2 linked regions of the Drosophila melanogaster genome follow. The protein of the gene in region 2 purifies or fractionates together with the protein of the main gene of each other region. This does not show direct contact. Each region holds a gene or a part of one and is shown on either strand. Other genes may lie near its edges.

Region 1 (6,078 bases), on a different chromosome or scaffold from region 2:
GGATCGGGCAGCGGCTTGGATGACCTAAACAGCAGTGGAGGCGGTGGCGACGAGTCCTTCAATGCCTCCTACGCCAGCAGCACCAGTCTGACAGTTAATACATCCTCAAGCAGTACCAGCTCATCCAGTGGAGTGGGAGGAGCTACGTCCACCTCTGCAGAGCCAGTGGATTCGTCCACGGTTGGACCGCCCATTGCTGCCCAATCACCTTCATCGACGACCAGCAGCTCCTTTCAATCGGCCTGCACATCGACCACCAACAGCAACAGCTACTTTCCCAATGGCAAGCAACGAGCTGCTGGCGAGGACTCCTATGCGATGCACTACTACCAGCTGGGCAAATTTGCTGGAACACCAAGTCCGGGACAGGGTCAGGCCATCGTGAGCAGCAGCAGTGGTTCGTCAGGAGGAGGAGGATCTGGAGCTGGCTTTCTGAGCATGCCCAAGCACACATTCGGCACCTGTGCTCTCCTGGCCCCCACCAGTTTCGCCTGCCTACAGAATCAGCCGCAGATTAGCCAGCAGAAGACCAGCAGCGGCGGAGGAGCAGGAGTGGTGCCCACCTCCACTTCAACGGGCGCAGTTACATCTCACCATCATACAAACAACCATCACGGCCAGAAATAACCAACGACTGATCTCCAAGCAAATTGACTAAGCACAGTTGCCATTTCCATGAGAAGAGGAGGAGCGCGTAGGGGGAGAGTACCGGGCGAGGACATGGTGAAGCACCAGGTGCAGAGAAGCAGGAATAACAAGGGATGGAGACTGAGAATGGCTGCGCTGCTGGCGTCGTTGCCTTTGCTGCTGCTGATTCCAAGCACCTTATAGAAACCGTAGGCTTAGATCTTAGTCCAAGTAGATGATCCCTGATATACCCGCCCTGGGTTTTCATATTCGGGAAGCAAAGCAACAGGCTGACCAATTTGTTAATGCGAATCCGGATATATACCAGATTGTAACTTGTTTTGTTTTTGCTTTCTTTTCCATTTCTCTCTTTCTCTTTGTGATCACTTCCCGTTTCTCCCAACCCTTTTACTTTGTGTCCGCGTTGCATGTGGCGCGTGTGTGTGTGGTGTGCTTTTATTTTGCAGGTGGCAGTCTGAATCGTAGAAGTAGGAAAAGGTCGCAGCAAAGGGCAGCGTGTTGCAATCACAACAAAAGCAGCAGCGGGAGCAACCGGAGCAGCGGCAACATCGGCAGCAGCAACAGCAGCAGCAGCACCACCACCACCACCACCACCAGCAATTTGATAGTTAAACGGCTAAGAATAGAGTTAAATCGCATTCAAATCATGTACAGTTGAGAACTAACCGACCTAAACAGCGGACGAGCAGCCCAGGAGCCACTGTGAATCAGAATGGGAGGATTTAGGACGCAATTAGCAGAGGTTTTAGACGCCTTGCATCCGAAACCCAACTTAGCTTTACACCAAGCAAGCCCCTCTGTTTGTTGCAAGATAATGAAACAACCACATATTCGAGGATACTTGGGACTCCCACCCCACAATAGCCAACAAGAAAACAATAGCGCAGCAGCGGCAACCAGAACAGCAATATATAAATAATAACATATATGCATGGTGTATATACAAGATATACGAGACAAACTTAATGTTAATTACTACAAAGCGAGCTGGTTGAAGAGACCGAAAGGAGGAGGAGCTTACACTTTCACATACATATAACAATAACAATGTATATAAACCAAAAAGCGGGAAATTTAATTATAAAGCAAGCGAAAACAATTGAACAGAAGATTCAAATAAAACGCTAAATACAACTCGATACAAGTGGTGGTTCAAGTGGTTCGACGGACCATGCAATCTGGTTTAATTCACATGAATCTGAATCCAAAACAACTCGCACTCCCTGCCCTTCGTTTTATTGCCAGCTTATTGTTTATTTTGTTCTCTGTGAAATTTGGTTTTTAAAAGGCGACAGATAGAAAACTACAACTAAACCATCACAACCACACACACACACGAAGCAAATTCGATGATTTTTTAACGACATAATTATTTTTTGTTTACCTATAAGTTTAGTTAGTAGCTTATGCAATTAAACATTAATCATATTTGATATATACCATATACTTTATTCATATCTGTAACTAATGTGTATTATTTTCTAAGCTGCCGCGGCCGCAAAACATTCATAATAAACTAAAAAGAACATTTAGTTTTTACAAACGCAGCTCTTTCTTTGCATCGACTGATTTTGATTTGTTTTTACGAAACTACTTTCATATATCTGAACAACCTGATCTGGAGCTGGTCATGACGCATATAGTTAAGCAAAACTAAACTAGTTTGAACTAGCCAGATCCTCTTCAAATGCCATCCAAGGATAACTAAGCAGAGCTACATTTATGGAACCCAATGACCCAATCATATTTTTTGCCAGTCATGAGTTATATACTCTGAAAATTTAGGCACGACTAGCTAGTGGATTTCGCGGTAAGATGCCATCGTCACAGTGAATATAGACTCCAAAGGGTGAAAGGTAGAAACATCCGTCTAGTCTTCTCCATCTTCTACAGCTTTTATTTAACGCGTTACAAAAAGGTGCGCTTCCCGGGGAGTCTCGGAAATCGGTAACTGTGCTCCTAAAGGCTACCAGTTCACTCGAATCGCCCCACTAGCTTAAGATCTAAAAAGGTATTCAAATGTCCAGATGAAGCAGGCCTCCATCATCTAGCTTGCGGGAAGTGCTGCTCCCTCCATCTGGTGGGTCTTGGGGGTTTTGTAGATTTTAGTGGCCGTACTTCTGGAAATCCCACTCGCGGTTGTCCAGTGGGCATACCTGGCGCGTCTTTAGCCAGCGAGAGATGCAGTGGAAATGGAAGGCGTGGTTGCAGACGCCCCAGGCCACGGTGCACTCCTCGCTAGTGGCGGACGCCTGGTTCGCCTGACACTCGATGCACAAGTCCATGATGTGGTTGCGGCAGATGGCGCAGTTGTCCACCACGATGTCTGCATCGAAATGGAATGCGGTTAATCCCCCGACTCGGAGCACTACAATTCGCATTACTACTTACCCCAGGCCCACAGAGCCACGGCGTTCCACTGTTTTCGGCGAAGCGGAAAGGATGAAGTGTTACCATCAGTACATTCATTGACAATGACCCTGCTTTTTTGCTGACCACTTACCTTCTTCACCTCAAAGCGCTTCTTATCGCCCTTGCTGCTGCTGGAGGGAACCTCGTATCCATCCTCGTCGACTTCCATGGTGGAAATACACCTATTTATCCTGACAAAACTCTCGCAACACAAATGCAATTTTCACAACTAACGTAGTTTTGGCTTTTCTGTCCCTATCCTTTTCGTTTTAATAGAAAACCACTCGCAGTGAGGCTCAAGCAGTGTGACCGCCGCTTTTTCTCGTAAAGGTGGCGAAACATCGATGCCAACATCGATGGCGTCGATGGTATCGATGGTATTTACTGCACATCGGAGAAGATATGTGTATATATTGTAAGTATAAATTGTAAGTTCCATATTTTTTAATAGAATTATTAATAACATATCGCAAATTTAGTGTGACTTGCTGGTGGTGTTGGCTGATGTCCTGAAAGACGTGGATAAATATCTGAAATTTAAGTTTTTAACTCCTGAATAAGGAGGGATGAAGACGTAGACGACAATAAGTTTATGTTTAGTTAAAATACTGCCTTTTTTATTTAGTCAATATTAAAAAAGAAAATAATATTTAAATTAAACAGATAATTTTTTTGTTTTTATTTAAAACATCGATGTTTAGAACAACATGTTTAAAGAATATGTTTAAGACTTTGATATTTTTCGCCAAATCGGAAACATCGATGTTTCTCCACCACTATTTTCTCGTCTAATTCAATAACGATTCCGATTCGTGTCGATAACCTTTTGGTATCTTAATCAAAATTTTTAATGTTTTGTTTATGGTATACCGATCAAATTGCAAAAAAGTAAAATCGAAGAAAAATCAAAACATTTTTCAAAAGTATATGCGTGGCAGTTTTGGGCGGTTTGTGGGCGTGGGAATTAGTTTTTTGCAATTCAAACAGGACTTATAACAAAATTTTAAAAATATCAAAACATTTTTCAAAAGTGCGCGCGTAGCGTTGGACGACACTAAACTGGGCCACATGGGTCAACAAACTTGCGCTGCGACTGTCTGTTTTATAGTTCCTGAGATTGAGGCGTTCATACGGTCAGACGGACATGGCCAGTTCGACTCGGCTATTGATCCTGATCAAGAACATATGTTTATACATGTATACTTTATAGGTCGGAAACGCTTCGTTATCCATAATTACAAAATTGTATTTTATTCATTAATTGCTGATTGAGTTCAGTTGGTACTACAGTACATCAAGTACTTTTTGAATTATTTTCTGTTCGGCAAGTAGCCCGTTTACGAAGAGTAAAAGTTGCAATAAATTAGATTTTTCAAATTCAGGGCTCCGGCCATCCTGCCCTTGAGCCACCTCTTCTGCTAGGAGGCACCGCCCGCTTTGTGGCCACTGCCCTTTTCCCGCTTGACTATCGGCAGCCGCGTCCAGATGTAGCCGCCCGATCTCTGGGCAGTGTACTCATCCACGTCCGGCAGGGGAAACGGGGTGCTCCGGTCGAAGTAGTAGTTGCTGGGAGCATGCATCACGAACTCTAGGTAGCAGAGCTTCCGGGACAGCTCCTCATCGGGTCCTGCAGGCACGGGAGTTAAGCAAAAATACAATTTAAAAAACTTTGGGTAGCAGGCAGGAGGACAGGACTGACATACCGATTAGGTAGGTAGGGGGATCGAAGCCCTCCTGGGGATCCGGACTGTCCTGCGTGGGAATCAGCCAGGTGAGGAAGGCGGACTTCTCGCAATAGGCGTCCACAAGCAGACCGCGTATCTGGGCGTAGTACAGATTCTGCTCGCTGTCCACAATGCTGACGATATCCCCGATTTGTATATAGCTGCCCTTGTGGAAAAGGCTTCTCACGAACCTGGTGCTCGCCTGCACCTTGGGAGTTTTCTGTGCTGGTTTCTTGAAGAGAGCGCGGCGATTACGGGCTCCAGTGGCCCCGCCTGTGCCCGCTGGACCGGACTTCCCATGCTTGTTGGTATTACTGGGATGGGCGCCAGCGCCCGCGAGGTGCACGGAGCTGCCGGTGGAACCATTCGCCCCGCTATTGTGGCCATTTGACTGGCTACTGCCGCTTCCGGGAGTGCCCTTGCCCGTTTGCTTGGCCTTGAAGCGCGTGCTCTTTCGCAGACGCTTTATTATCGTTGGGGAGCGGGTGGGCGCCTGGTTGGCTGTGCCATTTAGACTGCTACGGGTGATCTTGCCCGCAGTTCTCTGGCTGGGATTCGCTGCTGTCTCCGGCGAACTGGGCGCGACTTCCTCCTGAGCCTGCGGCTGCGGCGGCGGCTTCACTGGCTTGTCCTCCTCCTCGATTTTGATGGCTGTCGGATTGCTGGGCGGTTGCACGGAGCCGTCCTCCAGTGGCTTCTGGTCCTGCGCGTCCTTCTGCTCCTCCTCCTCTTTTTTCTCCCGTTTCGTTTTGGAATCCATCGGCTGCTCCAGCTCGGCCACCGTTGGCATCCGTTCGCTAGTGGTAAGATCGTTGTCTATCTCCATGTCCACGTCCATGTCGGTGGAGTCCTTCTGTGGCTCGCAGGAATAGGAGGGAGCTGCGACAATGGAGGCCAACGCCAGATCTCCAGCGGCTTCTGCTTGGAGGCCGTCGCCTGCGGTTGACACCTGGTACATGGGACTGACGCACTTGTTTAGGTCGGCGTCGGTTGACATGGCTAATCCATGCCCTTATTCAGGTCGTAGTGATTTTTAAAACAATAAATGCTTCAATGTGCTTGTTCTGCTATGCAAAACAACGTAATTTGTGTAGTATGTTTTTGTTAAACCAGTGTTGCCAGACCGGATCGGCGGGGGCTGCCAGGTAGCCAACTGTGCTCTGACTAATGCAGCCCTGGTTTTTTTAGGAATTCAAAATAGAAAGAAGAAATACCGGTGGAGATTCCATATTCAATTTCTCGCCAGTGGCGTTTTGTTAGATTTCCCTATCAATTTCGTTGGTAAAAGAACGTT
Region 2 (6,010 bases):
CACACTTGAGGCCACCCATACCTTTACTCCTGTGTGTGTGCGTGCGTGTATGCGCGTGTGCATGTGTGTTGGATGAGCGTGTTCCAAAATAAAAACCTTATATTTATTTATATGCCATTTAGCTGGTTAAGCTGATTTTCCGCTCACTCTGCTATTGATTTTTATTACTACTAATTCTCGCTCTCTCTTTTGCTGTTTATATTTTCGCCGTTGGTTATCAAACTCGAACTGTTTTTGTTGTTCTTTTTTTTCAGTCTTTTTTTTTTGCACACAACACGTTTTTCGCTGCGTGTTTGTGTGTGTATATTATTTTTCTGTTCGTCTTGTTTATTTTTATTATTTTGCGTACCTTGTTGGAAAAAATCGTTGGCTGTTGCAATTTATGAAATCTCTCGATATGCACGTAACACTAGTAATTGGGCAATAATTTAAAGCCGATTTGTGCACTTTTTCAGCGATTTTAATGCGGTTTTCCCGATTCTTATTGCTTCAGCGCGGTGAAGGAGAAGAAGAAGAGATCAGTTCGAGCAAAATGCTGGCAACGCTAGCGCCCGAAATCAGGCATGGCCCGTTCGTGGTCTGGCAACGCCGCGTAACAGCTGTTTTCAGCCGCATTTCGATTTTGTAACAGTTTGCATATATTTTCGTTCTATTTAATTTTTCAAATAAAACTATCGAAAATGCAAAGTGTAACACGTTTGCTGAGCACAACGCTGACTATACAAACGCCGTTTCGCACGGCGCCGGCGTTTCTGCAGCAATTGCGCGGCAAAACCAAAGTGGTGGAGAAACCAAAACCTGGTGCCGGACAGCAATTCCGACGAACCGTGCACTTTCCGGAGAAGTACACCGTTGAGCCGCTGAAGATCACCCATTTGGCTGGTCGGGATCCCGTCTCCGGTCGCTTGGTGGCCAAGGGCATTGGCGGAGGCATCAAACAGCAGTATCGCTGGGTTAAATGGGTGCGGGATGGTCCCACGGAGGGCGCCCAGGAGGAACTGGTACTCGAGGTGCTACGCGATGGCTGTCGCACCGCCAAAGTGGCCCTGGTTGCCGTCGGCGATGAGCTGAAGTACATCCTGGCCACCGAGAACATGAAGGCTGGCGATATCCTCAAGACCTCGCGCTTTATTCCTAGGATTCCGGGTAAATTTACTTACTGTTACTCATCGGGAGTATTAAACGTTTTCTAAGTAATCCTCTGAGTATAGTCTTAAACTGAGCATGGAATCTAGAAATTTTACTGGCTCTGAAACAACCAGTTATGCCAATATAATTTTTTTTTTTTGTATGATCCCATAGTGCGTCCCAACGAAGGCGATGCCTATCCATTGGGCGCCTTGCCCGTGGGCACACGCATTCACTGTCTGGAGAAGAACCCCGGCCAGATGTGCCACCTGATCCATGCCGCCGGCACCTTCGGCACCATTCTGCGCAAGTTCGACGAAAAGGTGGTGGTGCAGCTGCCCTCGAAGCGGGAGTTCGCCTTCCAGCGCACCTGCATGGCGACGGTTGGTCGCCTGTCCAACCCGGAACACAACAAGGAGCATGTGGGCAGTGCCCAGCGGATGCGGGAGATGGGCAATCGACCACGTTCCGGTCTGTGGAAGCGCAAGGAAGGCAAACACGGACGCAAGATACGCCGATTGCCGCCCATGACCACCATATCGCCACCGGCTCCGCCCAAGGAGGAGGCCATCAAGTTGACGCTGCCCCTGTGAGGTTTTTCCTTTAATTTCTATGTGTCACACAATATATAACTAGAACTAGAGATACAGAGCTATTTGCGCGTTTTCTTCATCGAGAAACCGGTGCCGTGGAAGCTCTCCGCATCGGAAGCGTCCGCATTGCCAGCTACGGCATCATCTTCTTGGCTTCTATCACTGATAGGCCGAATGTTGCGATCGAAACGGATGAGTCCAAACTGGAAATCATAGTCTGGAACGCCGCGGGCTAGCACCTTCTTAACGACCGGCGTTTCCAACTGGCTTTCCTTCTTCTTCTTACCATCGAGACGTACGCCGGAACCCTTGAAGGTCTCCACGACCTCTTCGAGTATGGCGTTGGTGGCTCCAGCGATTTCGCCGCCAACAGTTCCAGCAGCACCCTGCTGCCCAGAGCCCGATGCCTGCGTTTCGGAGTGATCCTTGTAGCCGACTGGCGCCTCAAATTCCACATTCATGTCGCACTCAATGATGCTGACTGCATTGCCGGGCTTTGTCTCCAGGACACACAGTTCGTAGACCTTCTTGTTGTACTTAATGGCTATGACATCGCCCCTGGTGAGGCAGGCAAAGTTGCGCAATGCATTCTCCAGCACCGCCTTGGGATTGGTGATGTCCAGGAAGTCGGTGCTGTGCGGTTGAAACTTTGAGAAGGTGGCCACCGGCAGCGAGACACTCTCGATGTTGAGTATGTCGCCCTCACCCAACAGCAGGTTTTCCATCATCCAGTGGGGTAGATAGCATTTGCCCTCGTCGGCCACAAACTCGAGTACGCCGGCATGCGAGGATCGCGATTTCTTGACGTTGGTCAGCTTGAACAGCATTGGATACTCGACATTCAGGCGGGTGAGCGTGTCCAGCGCCGAGGGAGGCATAATAACTGTGGATGGAATGTGTTGTTCACATAATTTCTGTCCAGCCTACACTCGTAACTCACTCTTTCCGCCCTTTTCCACGTCGGTTCGCTCGTTTCCTGGCAACATGGATACGGAGAAGCACTTGTAGTTGGCATGAAAATTGCGTCCCTCCGGGAACATCATGTTGAAGCCGCTGAAGTGGAACATTCTATGTGTGCTGGGCTCTCCGTGCCTATGGATTCTTTTCGATTTAAACTGCCTCAAATGACCCTTTATTTCTCAAAGGGGGGAGGCTAAAATTTTATCTTTTGTTTTATTTTTTTTTCTATTTTGTTTGTCACGGCGGGGGCAGTGTGACCAGAACACCATGTAGACGTAACTTTTTCGCCCACAGGTGGCAGCACTGTGTGGGGTTGCGGCACAAGCTAAGTTGTGGCACGCATATTTCGCTAAAATCCCAAGCGCGTGGCGTACAACAAAAAGTAGCAACTCGAGCTATCGCAGTGGCGAGTTATCGGCACATCTCTAACAAACCCAGCAAGCCGGTGGTTGCGCGCGACTTCGTCCCGCTTAAAAAAAAATTGAATAGACGGGTATATTGATTCGAAAAAGTGCTGCTGATCAAGTGAGTACCCATTTCGGGGCAGCAGCTCCAACTGTTTCCGCTACTCAAAATTGGCTGTCAGCAGCTGCGGTTTGCTGGTCAACTGCACCACTCGATCCTGGCGAGCTTTTTTGTGCGCGCGTGTGTGTGTGTGTGTGCAGGATATGCTGCCTGTATCCTTTTAGTCTGGCTGGCGCCGCGTGTTTTTCGCGTGGGTGTGATAAAAAAAAAGTGTGTATGTCGATGCCCACATGATTGCCAATACTTTTTTCGAACCAAACACACTAAGCAAAAGACCGAAACGAGCAACAAATGCAAAATGTTCGAATAGAAAAATCAATAAGCTGGCCAATCGATTGGTTGGTTTGTTCAAAGGCGGGGTGGTGGCCAAGTGGCTGGAAAAAGTGTTCTCCAGCTTCCAGGTCGAAAGATCTTTTACGACATACAGAAATACAGCAAAATGTATTGTTTTTGCCAAGTACAGTTACATTTTAAATTTTGCAAAACAGTTTGACAGCCACCGTTTTCGTGTGCAGCTGTTTTCGAGTCTCTGTTGTGGTTGTTATTGTTGCTTCGCAGCTGCAGCCACACCAAAAACAAGAACAACAACAGAAACACCGAACAGAAGGTGAAAAGAGCGAGAGGATGCGCACTCTCCCGCTCTCTTGTCTCTTCTGGCAGCTTCCAGACACTCCCCTCGCCATCATGCTCCCCACTTTCTTCGCCTTTCTTTCGCTCTCGCCCTAACTTCCCCACAACAAAGAGCCCCACCCCCCTCTATTGTGAAATTTACCCATCTTTTGTCTTTGTCATGTAAAACGTATTAAAATCGAGAGAATATGAAATTCCAGTGACTCACAAGCTGGCTTCAAATAATGAAGCCTAACTTAAGGCGTCAGTTGCATCCTTGCAAATTTTTGTAAATTCATTTAATAAGCGCTCTATGGCCCAACATATTCCAGTTTCCAAAAGTTTTTACTTATAAGTGGACTCACAACGATTTCTGTTTTTGATTTTAAAGATAACCTCTTTTCGAGAATCAAAATGTTGTTTATATTGCACTTCCGCTAAAAACTTAGTTTACTTTCTGTGTAAACTTATCAAAATTATTTATAAATATTTCTGGGAAAATCCACTTTTCGTTATCATGACACTTGCTTACGCTTTGCAAAGCTAAAGAAATATTGTGAAATGAAATCGCCTGCTCTTTTGAAAATTCAAATTAGAATACAATCGTTTATAGCCAAGTCGCACTGTGATGAGCAAAGTACTAAGGGTAGAAGAAAAACTCCGGCATCTTGTTGTGTACGTACAGTTTTTGCGTCTGGGAACTAAATTTAACAAGCGCACAGCCAACGAAATGGAGCAGCTTTTCCGATAAGCATTTAAACTTTAAAATAGCCCAACGACACAAGCAGCAAAATTCCCAAAAATCTGTGTATACGCATGCTGCAGAATTTCGAAGAAAAAAAAACATTTCGTTTTTCGTAATTTCCGAACATCAGATCTTTGCGCTTACGTCAAGCAAAGAAATTATACATTTTTTGTTTTCAGCACAACGTGATATCACGGCGTGGATTTCGTTTTGGATTGCTCTGGGTCATGAATGAGTTGGTTTGGGTTCAAAGTGGGCGGTGGGTGGCAGCAACCCCGCAAGGTCATAGCGTGTACACACTCGGCGCCGCACGGAGTGAGTGTGAGTGCAAAGTGGACCGATTCCCATTCCGATTCAATGCATCTTTCGCTCGGATGGCACCTGGTCAAGTGTCTCTCAAACTAAAGTTCTGGATTTCCGTTCAGAAATTATAAGAAATGTCCCCTTTTCAACGAGATTCTATTCATGCAAGTGAGAACACCTGCTTATATAAATATCTTCAGAATTATAAAGAAACTTAGATAAACCACCTACCCCTTTGATTTATTTATCATGAGGTAGTTAGTACCCAATTAAACTATGTATAAATAGTTTAAAATAACTGCTTAGCTTTCAATATTATGTATTTTCAAGTGGCTTTCCTAGCTTTACCTACTTTTTACTACTGAAAATAGTAATTCAATCGATTTCAAGCAGTTCCCAGAAATATTCAATAGCCATATTTGCCGGTTGCCAAGTGCCCAAAAAAATGTATTGGATGGGAGTGGAATTTCTATAGGCACACAGCACAAACATATGTACATACATATATGTATGTATATACATATGTATATGTTCATACATTCATATGTGAAATTCGATGAAGCGTTCTATTCATATTTTTTTTGTGCTCACGTTTTGAATATCAGCCGACAAACTCGTGATTCCATTTTCGGATCGCGTGTGATGGAAAAAACCCAATAAAAACAACACAGCTTCACAGTTTAAACTCTTTTATGAATGCCAAGAAGGTCGTCGAATGGAGAGAGAATGAAAGAATAAGAGCAATAGGTAAAATTTGCCAAACGAGCTTCGCACTCACATTTGTTTACTTCCAGAACTTGTACAGTCACACGTGCTAGAAACGTTGGCACACGTACAGTGGTCGCTCTATAATAACGACAGCTAAACACTTAAGATATATGAACTTAATGTGTGTGAAGAGAGCGCGAAAGTTTGTAATAGAAGTCTGCTTAAAGTATGTTTAAAAAATTAAATATTTTCAATTAAACAATTGGGTAGAAAAAGACGAGAATCATGTTTTTTTTTATCATACATTGCAATAGCTTAAGTGCAACTTATGCTTTTAAAGTTATTGTACTTCCTGGAGCTCTAATTTCTCACACATGCACAACCCAGCGTCGTGTGTTTTTGGGTTATTGCAGTTATTCGTTAATTACTAGAGTGGCAT

The links.
Region 1: the proteins of Ufd1 (region 2) and Roc1a purify together in Drosophila melanogaster (affinity purification with western blotting; one study listed by BioGRID). This does not show direct contact.

The regions. Positions count from the first base shown.
Region 1 is NC_004354.4:644,599-650,676, reverse strand, and holds Roc1a (regulator of cullins 1a), read right to left. Parts: upstream 3,374-6,078; 5' UTR 3,230-3,373; coding exon 3,040-3,229; intron 2,975-3,039; coding exon 2,754-2,974; 3' UTR 2,080-2,753; downstream 1-2,079. Other genes in the region: Hmt4-20 (histone methyltransferase 4-20), read left to right, coding at 1-627; CG13367 (uncharacterized protein), read right to left, coding at 4,479-4,687, 4,764-5,781. UniProt on the Drosophila melanogaster protein: Core component of multiple SCF (SKP1-CUL1-F-box protein) E3 ubiquitin-protein ligase complexes which mediate the ubiquitination of proteins involved in cell cycle progression, signal transduction and transcription.
Region 2 is NT_037436.4:11,120,261-11,126,270, forward strand, and holds Ufd1 (ubiquitin fusion-degradation 1-like), read right to left. Parts: upstream 2,957-6,010; 5' UTR 2,789-2,956; coding exon 2,662-2,788; intron 2,605-2,661; coding exon 1,781-2,604; 3' UTR 1,722-1,780; downstream 1-1,721. Other genes in the region: mRpL2 (mitochondrial ribosomal protein L2), read left to right, coding at 681-1,146, 1,303-1,721.